3 linked regions of the Callithrix jacchus genome follow. The main gene of each other region encodes a partner of the protein of the gene in region 2 in a complex. Links are inferred from orthologs where the notes say so. Each region holds a gene or a part of one and is shown on either strand. Other genes may lie near its edges.

Evidence for each region.
Region 1: TFDP1 (region 2) and MYBL2 share a complex: the UniProt entries of both Homo sapiens proteins name them as parts of the DREAM complex. The link is inferred for Callithrix jacchus from reciprocal best matches to the Homo sapiens genes TFDP1 and MYBL2.
Region 3: the proteins of TFDP1 (region 2) and E2F5 are in contact, whole or in part, in a crystal structure (PDB 5TUV), measured with the Homo sapiens proteins. The link is inferred for Callithrix jacchus from reciprocal best matches to the Homo sapiens genes TFDP1 and E2F5. Residues at the interface, in NP_009042.1 of Homo sapiens: Glu201, Cys202, Leu205, Glu208, Arg209, Arg212, Leu213, Arg215, Ile216, Lys219, Gln220, Leu223, Leu226, Ile227, Gln230, Phe233, Leu236, Val237, Arg239, Asn240, Arg241, Arg249, Pro253, Ser255, Val256, Ile257, His258, Leu259, Pro260, Phe261; in NP_001942.2 of Homo sapiens: Val126, Arg129, Leu130, Lys134, Glu136, Ile137, Leu140, Glu141, Glu144, Leu147, Asp148, Gln150, Lys151, Leu154, Gln155, Ser157, Ile158, Val161, Met162, Ile166, Asn167, Asn168, Arg169, Phe170, Ser171, Tyr172, Val173, Thr174, His175, Asp177.

What each region holds. Positions count from the first base shown.
Region 1 is NC_133506.1:39,047,799-39,052,739, reverse strand, and holds the start of MYBL2 (myb-related protein B), read right to left. Parts: upstream 3,368-4,941; 5' UTR 3,331-3,367; coding exon 3,266-3,330; exon of another isoform or gene 3,263-3,265; coding exon of another isoform or gene 3,249-3,262; intron 1,288-3,248; coding exon 1,194-1,287; intron 1-1,193. UniProt on the Homo sapiens protein: Transcription factor involved in the regulation of cell survival, proliferation, and differentiation. Transactivates the expression of the CLU gene.
Region 2 is NC_133502.1:29,108,067-29,113,011, forward strand, and holds the end of TFDP1 (transcription factor Dp-1), read left to right. Parts: intron 1-602; coding exon 603-681; intron 682-2,859; coding exon 2,860-3,007; 3' UTR 3,008-4,187; downstream 4,188-4,945. UniProt on the Homo sapiens protein: Can stimulate E2F-dependent transcription.
Region 3 is NC_133517.1:41,656,174-41,660,988, forward strand, and holds the start of E2F5 (transcription factor E2F5), read right to left. Parts: upstream 3,368-4,815; 5' UTR 3,069-3,367; coding exon 2,835-3,068; intron 1-2,834.

The sequences.
Region 1 (4,941 bases), on a different chromosome or scaffold from region 2:
TCCCAGCTACTCGCGAGGCTGAGACAGGAGAATTGCCTGAACCCAGGAGGCGGAGGTTGCGGTGAGCCGAGATCGTGCCATTGCACTCCAGCCTGGATAACAAGAGCGAAACTCCATCTCAAAAAAAAAAGAAAAATAAAAAAGAAAAAGAAAAAGAAAAGAAACCAATATAAACAATACAATACAAACAAAAACAACCAAGCCTAAAATTAAAGACATTTATGATGTTAACTGTGGGTTAAAAATAAAGACCAGACGTGGTGGCTCACACCTGTTTTCCCAGCACTTTGGGAGGCACAGGCGGGCAGATCAGGAAGTCAGGAAATCGAGATCATCCTGGCCAACATGGTGAAACCCCGTCTCTACTAAAAATACAAAAAATTAGCTGGGCATGGTGGCATGTGCCTGTAATCCCAGCTACTTAGGAGGCTGAGGCAGGAGAATTGCTTGAACCCAGGAGGCGGAGGTTGCGGTGAGCCAGGATCGCGCCACTGCACTCCAGCCTAGGGAACAACAGCGAAACTCCGTCTCAAAAAAAAGAACAAAAAGATGGAGCTAGAAGAAAACCAAGTCAGGCTTCATGTTACAAGGTTCAATAGTTTTTTAGAAAAAGAAAGGGAGAGTTGGCTGGGGGCAGTGGTTCACGCCTGTAATCCCAACACTGTAGGAGGCCAAAGCTGGTCAACATGGTGAAACCCCGACTCTACTAAAATTACAAAAATTAGCCAGGTGTGGTGGCTCATGCCTATAATCCCAGCTACTGGGAGACTGAGACAGGAAAACTGCTTGAACCCGGGAGGCGGAGGATACAGTGACCCAAGGAGGTCTTATCATTGCACTTTAGCCTGGGTGACAAGAGCAAAACTCCATCTCACCCCCCGACAAAAAAAAAGAAGAAAGCGGGAAATTACAGGCTTGGCCAAACCTCCTAGCAGTCAAATGGCAAGAAGCATAATCAACGTCCATGAAACAGAACATCCCAGCTGCTGAGGAGACACAATGGGCCCTAAGGTCTGAGACACACATCCCCTTCCCATCCACCGAGTCCTCAGAATTAAGTCCCCCAGAGGACCTATCCTTTCACTGGCTCCTCCTCTTCATCCCCTCTGACAGGACATCAGGAAGACACTCCAGGCTCAGCTCCTCTGGCCAGCCCCAGCTACCATCAGCCATCTCCTCCCCATGGCACTCACCTCCTCGTGGGTCCATTTGACCTTGCACTTGCTATCCCTCTGCTCTGGCACATCTGAATCTGTGTCCTGGTAGTGCAGCTCATCCAACTCCTCGCTATGGAGAAAGCAGGCCAAAAGGTTAAGGATGTCACTGGGCTGGAGATCAGTATGGCATGATCACAGCCTTAACTCCTGGACTCAAATAATCCTCCCACTTCAGCCTCCCAAGTAGCTGGGACTACAGGGGCATGCCACCACATCCAGCTAATTGTTTGTATTTTTTATGCAGACATGGGGCCCAGAGTGATCTCGAACTCTCCCACCTCGGGAGTAACTAAAAAAACAACAACAATTGAGCGGTAACTATGCCCATTTGTTGTTTTTCTTGAGACAGAATGGATCTGTTACCCAGACTGGAATGCAGTGGCATAATCATAGCTCACTGCAGACTCCAACTCCTAGGCTCAAGCAATCCTCCCACCTTGGCCTTCCAAAGTGCTGGCATTACAAGCCTAAGCCACCGTAACTGGCCAAGTTGTTGCTTGTGCTTGGATTTTTTTCTTTTTCTTGAGACGGAGTTTCGCTCTTCTTACCCAGGCTGGATGGAGTGCAATGGCACGATCTCGGCTCACCGCAACCTCCGCCTCCTGGGTTCAGGCAATTCTCCCGCCTCAGCCTCCTGAGTAGCTGGGATTACAGGCACGCACCACCATGCCCAGCTAATTTTTTGTATTTTTAGTAGAGACAGGGTTTCACCATGTTGACCAGGATGGTCTCAATCTCTCGACCTCGTGATCCACCCCCGCCTCGGCCTCCCAAAGCGCTGGGATTACAGGCGTGAGCCACCGCGCCCGGCCCCTTTTTCTTTTATTTTGTAATGACAGTCTCGCTATGTTGCCCAGACTCATCTTGAACTCCTGGGCTCAAGTGATCCTCCTGCCTCAGCCTCCCAAGCAACTGGGATTACAGGTGTGCACCACCATATCCAGCTTATGTCCATTTTTGCAAATCGCTTCTCTCTTTTGCAAATCCCTTTTCAATCCTTGCCTACACACAGGCATAATTAATGGAAAGAAAAATCAGTGTACTGGCCAGGCACAGTGGCTCACACCTGTAATCTCAGCACTTTGGGAGGCTGAGGAGAGAGCATGAGGTCAGGAGTTCGAGACCAGCCTGGCCAACACACTGAGCCCCGTCTCTACTAAAAATACAGGCGCCTATCCTCAATAGCAGGTGTCATACATGATTTAAAAAAAAAAAAATACAGGCGCCTATAATCCCAGCAGCTTGGGAGGCTGTGGGAGGAGAATCACTTGAACCCGGGAGATGGAGGTTGCAGTGAGCTGAGATGGCGCCATTGCATTCCAGCTCAGGAGACAGTGCAAGACTCTGTCTCAAAAAAAAAAAAAAAAAAGAAAGAGGCCGGGCACGGTGGCTCAAGCCTGTAATCCCAGCACTTTGGGAGGCCGAGGCAGGTGGATCACAAGGTCAAGACATCGAGACCATCCTGGTCAACATGGTGAAACCTCGTCTCTACTAAAAATACAAAAATTAGCTGGGCATGGTGGTGCGTGCCTGTAATCCCAGCTACTCAGGAGGCTGAGGCAGGAGAATTGCCTGAACCCAGGAGGCGGAGGTTGCGGTGAGCTGAGATCGCGCCATTGCACTCCAGCCTGGGTAACAAGAGCTAAACTCCGTCTCACAAAAAAAAAAAAAAGAAAGAAAAATCAGTGTACAGTATATTCTAACATGGCTGCAGAGGAAAAAAAAAAAAAAGTACAAGCTGCTTTGAAGGCTGGGTGTTTTTCTTGTACAAGGGAATTTTCCAAGTTGCTCCAAAAAGCCCTTGTATTTACCCAGTGTAATAGTTACAAAAATGGAAATCACACAATCCACGTCCAGAGATGTCAGGCACATGAGGAAAGTTAGTAACCTTTCCCCAACTCAACAACAGAAACTGCATCAGATCATCTTGGTCTGCTGAGTTGCTAGGTCATGCATTTGTAAACTGGAAGAAGCTTACAGGTTCCAAACAAGGCAAGTCTAGGTCTCATGACCAAATGAAAGGCGACTTACTGTGCTATCCACATTACCTTCTCCTTGTTCTCCACAGCTCACCATTCCTTCCTAGAGTCACTCCTACATTTCCACAGCACATGGAAAAACTTCCTGCCTCAGGTCCTTACACTGCAACTGCCTATCTCTACACAGTCTACAAAGGTCAGCTCCACCTCCGCATCCCAGGGCTTATCACCAAAAGCCTTAAGAAATGTTTGCCCAGTGACTAAATACGCCACAAATGAATGAAAAAAAATGTGCAAAGCAGCTGCCTAGTAGTCGATAAGAAATACTAATTAAATTTTTTAGGCCAGGCAAGACCCGGTTTCAAAAGAAAAAATTTTCAGGAATAGAAAAGGAAGAGATGGGGGACAGGGAGCGGTTTTTTAAAAATAAAATAAATAAATAAATAAGGGGGGGAAAAAAGGAAGAAATGGTGTCGACTGCCAGCAATACATCAGTCACAGAAGGCTCTGGAATTCATTCCTGACCCAGTTCATGGGTCCACCACCATTGCCATATAAAAGGCAAAAATCCAGAAGATACTAGTAACAGAAGGAAGCTGACTTTAAAAACAACTGCCCCCAGACTGCTCGTGACAGAAACCATCTTCGCTTCTCCAGCATCCAGCACAAACAAGGCCTGGCTTCTAGCAGAAGCTCACAAATACTCTTTTCAAAGATGAGAAGGGTGTCTGCATGTACACTCTCTGGTGCTCCAATGCTATTTATTTTTTTTATTTTTGAGAGTCTAATTTTTGTATTTTTAGTAGAGATGGTGTTTCACTATGTTGGTCAGGCTGGTCTCGAACTCTTGGCCTCGGTGAGCCACCATGCCCAGCCTCCAGTGCTGTTTGATACGGTCAGCATCTCAGATAGCTGGGACATTTCTGTGAGATAATATACTTTTTTTTTTTTTTTGAGACGGAGTTTCGCTGTTGTTACCCACACTGGAGTGCAATGGCGCTATCTCGGCTCACCGCAACTTCCGCCTCCTGGGTTCAAGCAATTCTCCTGCCTCAGCCTCCAGAGTAGCTGGGACTACAGGCGCGCAACCACCATGCCCAGCTAGTTTTTGTATTTTTAGTACAGACGGGGTTTCACCTTGTTGACCAGGATGGTTTCGATCTTTTGACCTCGTGATCCACCCGTCTCGGCTTCCCAAAGTGCTGGGATTATAACCCCATCTCTACTAAAAATACAAAAATTAGGCCGGGCGCGGTGGCTCACGCCTATAATCCCAGCACTTTTCGCTGCGAGTTTCCCAGCGAAACTCCGTCTCAAAATAAATAAATAAAATAAAACAAGTAGCCAGTTGTGGTGGCATGTGCCCATAATCCCAGCTACCCAGCCTATAGTCCCAGCTGGCTGAGGTGGGAAGATCACTTGAACCCGGGAGGGTTGAGGCTGCAGTTAGCTATTATTGATTGTACCACTACACTCTAACCTGGGCTGCAGAGTGAGACCCTGCCTCAAAAAAAAAAAAACGAAGAAAAAAAAATCAGAGCAGGGTCTGATAGGTGCCTGAACAGCAAATTCTTCCTGGACACTGGCGCTGCCCTGGGAAAGTGGGGCCTGAGGAACACAGTCCCTGTGGTAGGCGCCCCAACCACCACTCAGATCCCTATCCTCAGCCCGAAAGGGCAAAAATCTAGAGAGATGGAAGGCCTCATCTTTAAATGAAGCTATCATCTGAAGAGGGACGAAAGGTT
Region 2 (4,945 bases):
ATTCTTTCCGTGGGGCCGTAGGGTCCCAGCCTAGATAGGGTGGCTTTAAGGTGAGAAATTGTGAAGGTGCTGTATCTGCCAATCCTTTTCTTGTCAGCCTAAACTTTGGGTGTGGACTTACTCCCTGAGAGGGTCAGAGATTCCTCCCTGAGCTCCTAAACCATCCCAGATCTTGTGAAAATCTGGCTGGTCCATATCATCAGCTGAGAGTGGGGTCTGGCTGCCCATGTGGGCTGGGCCCTGACCCGCCCTCTGTCGTGTGCTTCATGGAGCTGCCAGGATGGGCTGTAGGAAGAGGGTTTCAGCTTGTTCCTTGATCATTCTCTTTCATGATGGGTATGATACTGACACAGCAGCACACATGTGCTGTTTGTAAGTCAGTGTGTGCAGGTATTGCAAGGCTGTTCATGCCTTTTTAGGGAAGACAGGCTATGTGACTGCACAGCGGGATGTCCTCTGTGGCACAGTGCAGAAAATCCTGGACAAGTGAAGGATGTCTGGAAGCTTCCCCAGCTGTCCATCCTGCGGCACTGCGGGTTGTCTGTGTGTCTTGTGTTGTTTCTGTTTCGTGACCATTTGCTTCATTTTCTTTCCTTTTTCAGAAATGGCTCAGGGAACTGTTGGAGGTGTGTTCATCACGACAGCAGGTTCCACATCTAACGGCACGAGGTTCTCCGCCAGGTGACAGCGGTTGAGGGTGTGGGAGAAGCATTGTCTGGGCCTCCTGTGGGGCCCAGGGGCCAAGGCAGGGTGGACGTCTCAGATGTGGCCATCAGGTCTGAGGCTGCTCCGACGTGCTTGTCTTCCCAGGCAGTGGCCCCACCGGCTTTCCCTGTGTGGAGAGCTGCTTTTCCTAGTTGGTTTCTCCTCACTAAAAACTAAAAGTAATACGTGGTGGTTGTTTTTTTTTTTGTTAAAGTATCACCTAAAAAGTAAGTAGGAATGAAAACCACCCAAATCCTTCTGTCCCGGGCAGCCCAAATAACAGCAAGTATTTCTAGTTTTTTTCTCCTATTTTTCAGAACACGTCTGCGGTCACAGTGCATTTGTATTTCAGAACGCATTTGTAGTCATGGCGCATGTATTTTTCAGAACGCATCTGTAATCACAGCACACATATTTTTCAGAACGCATCTGCAGTTACAGTCCACGTATTTTTCAGAGCAGTCACAGTGCACATATTTTTCAGAATGCATCTGTGGTCACAGCGCACGTATTTTCCGAACATGTTTGTGGTCACAGTGCATGTATTTTTCAGAATACGTTTGTGGTCACAGTGCACTTTCTTTTCAGAACACATCTGTGGTCAGAACGCACATGTTTTCTTCCATGCATTTTCACCTTACATTTTATTGTATTTATATATATTATTTCTGTGCTATTAAAGGGCCTTTATTTAAATAAATTCGTATTTAATCTTTGACCTGCCATCCCATAGGGTAGAATGATGTCCCTAGGTATTTATCTTGGTGCTTCAAAGAGAAATATAGCTTTTACAACAGATATTAACAAAACAAAGATTTTATTGACTTTTATATTGCATTGTGATACAATATGTAGTATTACTTTATATTAATCCTAAGTGTTCATAAAATCTTTAATTGGAAATCTAAGAACTTAGTAACCTGTGGGTCCAGATAACAGGGCACGACGTAGTGAGTTGCAGTGCGCATGAGCCTGTGTTGGAATGTGCTGTGGCCGTGAGATGTGACAAGTGTGTCAGGGGTGCATGTAGCTTCCTGGCCAGCTCTGGGGTTACAAAGCCAGTCTCTTCCAGTCTTGGCCTCACCTGTAAGGTGAGACTGGTGATGAGTCGTTGATCTGTGGCAAGGATCAGTGAAGTGGTGATAGAAGAAGGGACTTGTCACAGTGCCTGGTAACAAGGTTTTGACCGAGGCCGGTTCTCTTTCTCTTCAGCTGTGTGTGAATGTGTAGGGGTCAGTCTGTAAACATGTTTAACACTGGTTCTTCCATGAGGTGAAATGTGGGTGTTTTTAGGACTTTCATCATCAGATAATCCTTTTCATGGATGTGATTCTCAGACTTGTCAGTTTTTCATAACAATGGAAACAAAGCTACTACCATTTCTTATGAAATACCAATTTTCAAAGTGGCATGATGGGACATTTTATGAAAGTACCTCATGAAAGGACATCTAGGCAGTTCCCAGTTATCAGGAAAACTACAGTGAGCAGCTTTGCGGCTGAATTTCTCACCATTTCTGACGTGTTTCTAAGATACAGAATCACTTCATCAAAGGCATATTGACTCATTTTCATTGTAGTTAATAAATACTATTAAAATATATTAAAATATATGCATATATTTTTATGCAGTTGGAAAACATTTTTAAATCTTGGAACATTGTGAGCTGTGATTAGTGGTAGGTTTTTGTGGTGCTGCAAACCCTCTGGGTTCCCAGTCCATGCTGCTAGATTCTAGCCGTGCTCTGGACTACATCCTGTCCTGCCCCAGGCTCTCTTTTTTTCCTGTTGCTGGTTATGAGTGAAAGTCCTGGAGGGAGGGATCTAACAGTTTTTCAGTTCATTGCCTCTGGGCACTGCTCCTGATGGAATGATGAGTGAGGGAGAGGGAGCTTGTGGCTCTGCTCAGCCTCCTATTTCTGGCATTGTGGATTCCAGGAGACAGGGTCCGAGGAGAACCAGACGGGGATGGAGTGAGTGCCAGAGTGCTGGCGTGCTGTAGTGCAGACACTCATGACCTCCCAGTTCTGTGTGTGTGACTGACAAAACTGACACCTGTTCGGCGCAGCCTGTCCTTCAGCCGCAGGCCCTGAGGTGAGGGGAGGCCGAGTGGACTGCTCTGCACTGACTGCCTCATCCGCCTCCTGCCTTGCAGTGACCTGACCAACGGTGCAGATGGGATGCTGGCCACAAGCTCCAACGGGTCTCAGTACAGTGGCTCCAGGGTGGAGACCCCAGTGTCCTACGTCGGGGAGGATGACGAGGATGACGATGACTTCAATGAGAATGACGAGGATGACTGACGTCCTCCCCACTTCAAATTCAGCTTCAGGAAAACGTTTAGGGAAAAGAAACTTTTTTTTTTAATGTGGGTTTTCTGTTTCCTTTTGGCCTACTCCCAAGAAGATATTGGTAAGCTATTGAATTTAGATATGCACCTCTGATAAGCAAGGGTTGTTTACCGTAGGATTAGGACGTGCTGTGGATGTGTGTTTTGATACCAGTGTGCTGATGCAGAGCGTTTATTTACTTTTTAGGATTTTGTGTTTTCATTTTTCTGGTTTTCTCTAAGTGCAGAGTTCAGTTTCGCCCCTGAACAGTTTTTGCTGAGTCTGCTGAAGAAATTATATTTCATCCACATCCATGAAAATAAAACACCCTCCTGTGGTGGATGGTGAGCACCTGGTGCCATTTATTTGCCGTGAGTCTGGACGGCACCCCCGCTGGTGGATAGCAGGACTCTGTGGATTGTTCCATTTGGTCAGTGGTACTGTGTCCAGAGCCCCAAGCAAACAGCAGAATTCGACTTTCTAAACAATAAACTTCATCAACCTTATTGACTTTATTTTCCCTTAAATTATATTGACTGTTGTGATTCCATCAAGCTTATCAACTCTTTTCTCTCCCTATTTGCAGCAACAAATTGCAAAGTGCTTTTGTTTGTTTGGTTAGGGCTTATTGCCACGCTGGTGCGGCTATGGAGACTGTCTGGAAGGCTTGGAATGGTTTATTGCTTATGGTAAAATTTGCCTGATTTCTTACAGGCAGCATTTGGAAACCTTTTATTATATAGTTGTTTACATACTTATAAGTCTATCATTTAAAAACATGTACTGAAACAAATGTTGTATTTGTTTCATAAGCATCTTCCTGTAATCTATTATAAAATTGAAATTAAATATAGAGAATGTTTTAACAATTTTTTAACTCAAAATTTGTCAATCATTTTTAATAGTTCTTTTTTTATAAAAAGGAAAAGGAATTTAAGGACAGGCAGTAGTCTCTTTTAAAGTTTATTCACAAAACCCATTAACTGCACAGTTGCTGTTAGCTGCCTGTTCTGAAATGATAGTCTTTTTATTGAAACACAAATAAACTTTTCTGTAATATTTTATGGAATATAAAGAGACTTTAATTGTTTGACTTGTTTAACTTGGCACTGTTAGTTTTTATTAATAAAACGCGCATGGGCATTTTGAACAAGCTGTGTTTCTCTAATTCAGGATTATTGTCTAGAAATTTGTCTGTCTTGTTGGTCTTACTTTATACTTGAGTGAGAAAGTAGGTTGTTATTAGGCCCAGACACAGTGCGTCCTGGTGGTCCCTGTGGGCACACCCCCCGACCAAATTTTGGTCAGAAGCACATCTTCCGGGAGCCCACCCTGAAGATGGAGAGTGGCCAAGGGTGGAGGTCTTGGATATAAGGAAAGGAGGAGGCACCTTTTTTGGTGCCTGTGGTGCAGAGAAAGATAAGCCAAGTTCCTTGGCTTTTTTTCACGATGAAAATTGAGACTTAAAAATGTAAAAGTTTGACTTCCAGAACAAGAATAAGATTGGGAGGCTTCTGGGAAGATGGTGGAATAAGGAAGCCAGGAATCTGACGTCTACTCCCAGGCAGGATCTGCTGGATGCAGCTGTTCTGTAACTACGGAATCTACCAAAGGCTTAAAGCTTACAAGGGAGCATATGGCAGTTAATTTTGGTCAATTTCAGCTTTCTACCCTACCCCTGTTCCTTCATTTTTCTCCTTCTCCTTCTGGGAGCCAGACATTGAAGACTAGGACGTACAAAAATAGCTGTGCCTATGGGGCTGCCCAGGGAGAGGCTCAGAAACGGCCTGAGAAGACCTTATGTTTACATCTCAGGCTGAACCATGGCACAGGTACAGCCTAGAGCTATTAAAAACACAATAAACAAAGCAATAACAAAAATGGCAAATCCAGGGGAACAGGAGACCTCTT
Region 3 (4,815 bases), on a different chromosome or scaffold from region 2:
ACCAAGGTAGGCAGATAGCTTTGAGCTCAGGAATTCAAGACCAGCATGGGCAACATGGCAAAACCCTGTCTCTACTAAAAATATAAAAATAAGTCAGGTGTAATGATGCACATCTATAGTCCCAGCTACTTGGGATGCTGAGGCAGAATTGTTTGCGCCTGGGAAGCGGAGGTTGCAGTGAGCTGAGACTGTGCCACTGCACTCCAGCCTGGGTGACAGAATGAGACCCTGTCTCAAAAAAACAAACAAACAAAATCAACCAAAAAACCATATATATATATATATATATATATATATATATATATATATATATGGTTTCTTCAACTGCTTTTAAAAAGTCGTCTATAAAAGTTTCAAAAAAATTATGCTGAAATATGCCCCCACCAAAGTAAGAATATAAGAAAAAGAAAATGTGTGTTTATAATTTCAAATTAGAGGAAAATTATAATTGTTAGTGTGAGTCCATCTTTAATATGTATTATCAAAAATGTCTTAATGAGCCAGGTACAGTGGCTCACACCTGTAATCCCAGCACTTTAGGAGCCTGAGGCAGGCAGATCATTTGATGTTGGGAGTTTGAGAATAGCCTGGCCAATATGGTGAAACCTCATCTCTCCTAAAAATACAAAAATTAGCCAGGCGTGGTGGCGGGCACCTAAAATCCCAGCTACTTTGGAGGCTGAGACAGAACTGCTTGAACCTGGAAGGCTGAGGTTGCAGTGAGCAGAGATCACACCACTGCACTCCAGCTTGGGCTACAGAGTGAGACTTGGTCTCAAAAAATAAAAGTCTTAATGATCTTTTACAATGATATACAATAAGAAATATCATTGGAAAGATTTCAATGTAAAAGTTTACATATATTAGATTATATATGTAAATAATATATGTAAAATACATAAAATGTATATGTTTTTCATATATATGAAAACTAATAACATTCAAACTCCTTTCTAGGAGTATAAAGTCATAATATAATGAAACTTAGTGTTATTGTAGAAGCCTTTGAATTTTCAGGAGAGTTCCAGAATGAATTAAGCAATTATTGTTATGAAATACCAAACTGTACATCCTACTCACTGCCTCTGTGACTTCTGTAGGGCAATTATATGGCCACAGATGAAACAGGAGGAAGCTAAAGAATTTCAAGTCAAGAAAGGGCAAAGTTCCACCATACCCTGAGGCAAGTTGAGGGAGAAGCCCTCAAAATCTGGCCATCAGAGTTCAGTTTTATCTGGAAAACCCCAAACTTCCCTGATTTTCTTACACTAAAGTTAAAGGTACAGTTGAATTTCTAGATTTTGAACAGCAGTTTGCAACCTGTGCTTTGTAACATCTCTGGCTTTCTCTGACAACTTCATGACTTTCTGAAATTCTTTAAACAGAGTCCATTTTAATTCACTAAAATTTAAATACTATATATGCCATAAATCACTTTCAGGGAGAGAAAGGAAGAAGGGCCTGTGGTGGAAAAGAGATCAAGGAACTTCCAGAGGTGGGAAAAAATTCCAGGAATAACATCTCAAAAAGAAAACAGGAGAAATTACTTACCAAAATACAAAATATATACAGCATGCCTCACTTGCAAGAAGTTAACAATTTAGATAATTCAATTCAACAATCACTGACTGAACACCAACTACATCCAGGGAAAGCAGAAGGCACTGAAAGATCTACTTCCCCTTGGGCTACACTAAAGGAGGGCCCTTAGCAGAAGACAGGGAGAGCTGGCCCTTACATTCAGGGAGGTGCCATTGCTTTATGCAGAGCCTGGAGGATGCAGTGACACTCTGAAGCCAGGTAAGGTGGTCTAGGCACTCCCCGGATGCTGAGGTCAATCCTCCAAGTAATACCACATTTAGGAAGCAAAGGGGGCTTGCAGTGATTACTGCAAGTTAGAATTTTTTGTTTGTTTCTAAAACTTTGGCTCTTAAACTTGGCGCACAGAGTGATCACATTCTCTTCATTCTGAGCGATGTTGAATTCTTCCAAATTCTGCCTAGATCAGTTGTCATTCTGTATGACAGAACAGCTTTTGATGCTTGTTCCTGTTTGAAAAATCTGAACGCAGTAAAGGATGAGGCGGGGAGAGAGTTTACTGAGCACTTCCTCCTCTTTGAGTGAAAAGTTGTAAAATACCCCCTTTTCTTGTGATAGCAGATCTCACATTTGGAAAACTCATGACACATGCCAAATGAAGTCACAAATCAAACACCCTTCCTAACTTTCAGGGTGTTGAAAAGAAGTACACAAGGAAATTTTTTTATTAGCATCATTATTTTATCGGGGAGGGTCATGGAAAGAAGTAATTTTTCCCCCTTTCATCCGGTAGAGATGGCAGACTGGGTTCTGTTTCTCCTCCTTTTTATTTAAACTAAAGGAACATGGATCCAACTGGAATCGCCTATTAAAACCATCAGTTCTTAACAGCAAAATCGATTTTCACAGTGTCTCCGGGCAAAGCGCCCGTTACTCCCTGAGCCTCTGCCACAGGTGGACGCGGAGCAACAGACACTCGTTTGCCCTCAGGTCCCTGCGCCCGGAGACAGAAGCCACGCGGGCGCGCTCGAGGTGCAGGGCTCTTTGTCGAGAGTCCAGCGTGGCGCCGGGCCCCATTGGTTACGCGTCCGCTCGGGGCCATCCTGGTCCCTCGTCCCTCCCCCATCCCGGCGTCCAGGACCCGGGCGCAGGCCACATGGTCCTCGGATCGCTCGGTCCCGGATCCCCGCAGGGCGCGTCCAAACCACGCCGCCAGACCCACGCCGCGAGGGGCTGGGCTTCCCCGGGGGCCACGGGTTCCGAAGTCCGCCCCCGTCCCCGCCTCCCGAGCTCACCGCTTTGAGATCCAGAACGCCGTCCTTGGCCTCCTGCAACAGCGACACGAACTTGGTGGTGAGCAGCCCCAGGCTCTTCTCGTGCCTGCTGCTGCCGCCCCCAACGCCCCCAAGCTGCTGATGCGACGGCGGCTGGGGAGCTTGCGCCTGCGGAGGCTGCGGCTGCGGCCGCTGGTCCTGCCCCTGCCCTGGCGGTGCCTGCTGGCCGGAGCTCGCGGGCTCCGCCGCCGCCATCGCTTCCCGGCCCCGCGGTGGTCGGGCCCCCGCGCACTTTTGCTCGCCTGCCCCGCCCGCGGCCACCTGCCGGGTCGGCTCCGCCGCTGCTGCTTCCCGGCCCTCCGAGAGCGGCAGTGCTGGTCGCAGGCTGCTGCAAACAACAGGTGTACGGCACCCACGGGAGCCGGGGCCGCTTGTCACTCCAGGCCTCCGCCCCCTCCCCAAGCCCAGGGAAGCGTGAATGAGGCCCAAGACCAAGAGGGGAGGGGGTGGAAGCGAGAAGGGCTGAGAGGGGTGGGGACCTGAGTTTAAATGGCAGGAAGTGACGCGCCGCCCGCCGTTACCTAGAAACGCATTTTTCTGTAGGAAGGAGGAGAGCACGAGGAGGAGGAGGGGCGTCGGTGCGAGTGTTTCACACTCGCCTCCCGGGCGTTCACGAGCTGCCCCGAGGAATGGTGATCCCACACGGCAAAGCAAGGAGGAAGAAAAAAACGGAGACAAAAGAAAAAAGACTTTACCTGGGCAGAAAGTCACAATGCCCGGAGGCCAAACGTTTCTGAGTCGTGAAGTTGGTTGGCTGCTCAGTTTGCAGAGCTGCAGGAGATCAGCGGTCGGTTACTTACTTTTGCTGGACGGTTTCTGCTTTCTTGCTCTTTTCGAGCTCTAGCATTGTTTGCAAATATTTGTACGCGAAAAGGCATCGTGGAGTTTCAGGGCTGGTTTTCGTCAATCCTTTCCAAGACCTTTACTTTCCACATGGAGAAACAAGTGTAGAGGGAGAGGTTGTGAATTGCCAAAGACATGCCGCTAGATCCCAGATCTCCTGTGCTTGACCAAAGTTCTTAATATCTTATTGAACCAAATTGTATTGTATTTGGAATATTGGGCAGTCAGAGGCCCTTGGTCTTCAGTGATATTCCAAACCATTGATGGCAAATGACATCGTGCAGATCTGAGTAAAAGAAAGTTGTTGGGGTTTTTTCCTCATTATATTACAAACTCTTGAGAATTCACATTAAATTTTAAATGACTTGTGTCACATTCAACACTTTGAATATAGTAGACAATAAAGATTAGGTGAATGAAACCAGGCGCAGTGGCTTACGTCTGTAATCCCAGCACTTTGGGAGGCCAAGGCAGGCAGATCATTTGAGGTCAGGAGTTTGAGACCAGCCTGGCCAACATAGTGAAATCCCATTTTTACTAAAAATACAAAAATTAACTGGGCTTGGTGGTGCCCGCCCATAGTCCCAGCTACTCCGGAGACTGAGGCAGGAGAATCACTTGAACCCGGGAGTGGAGGTTTCAGTGAGCCAAGATCTGCCACTGTACTCCAGTCTGGGTGACAAAGTGAGACTCTGTATCAAAAAAAAAAAAAAAAAATTAGGTAAATGAAAATTCCTTATGGCAGTAATTAATCAAGAAAATTTCATGCAAGAAAGATTTTGTTTAATTTTAAATAACAATAAACTAACAAAAAAGGGTCTCTGAAGTGAGGTCAAATACAACAGCAGCATTAACTAGTAAAGCTAAATGCACCGTTTATAACACATCATAGGCACAGGCCTTTATTTATAACCTTCGTTAATAACTTATTCATTATATCCTTTACTTTAATCAAAGAACTCTATAAACAAAACAACATTGAAAATCTGAAGTAAAACATGAAAAATTCAGCTGATACAACCACTTTCAAACAACATATCTGAAAAAGGTTACATCTGTGTGATTTGACGTGGGACACATTGTTAACAAGTTTTGCAAA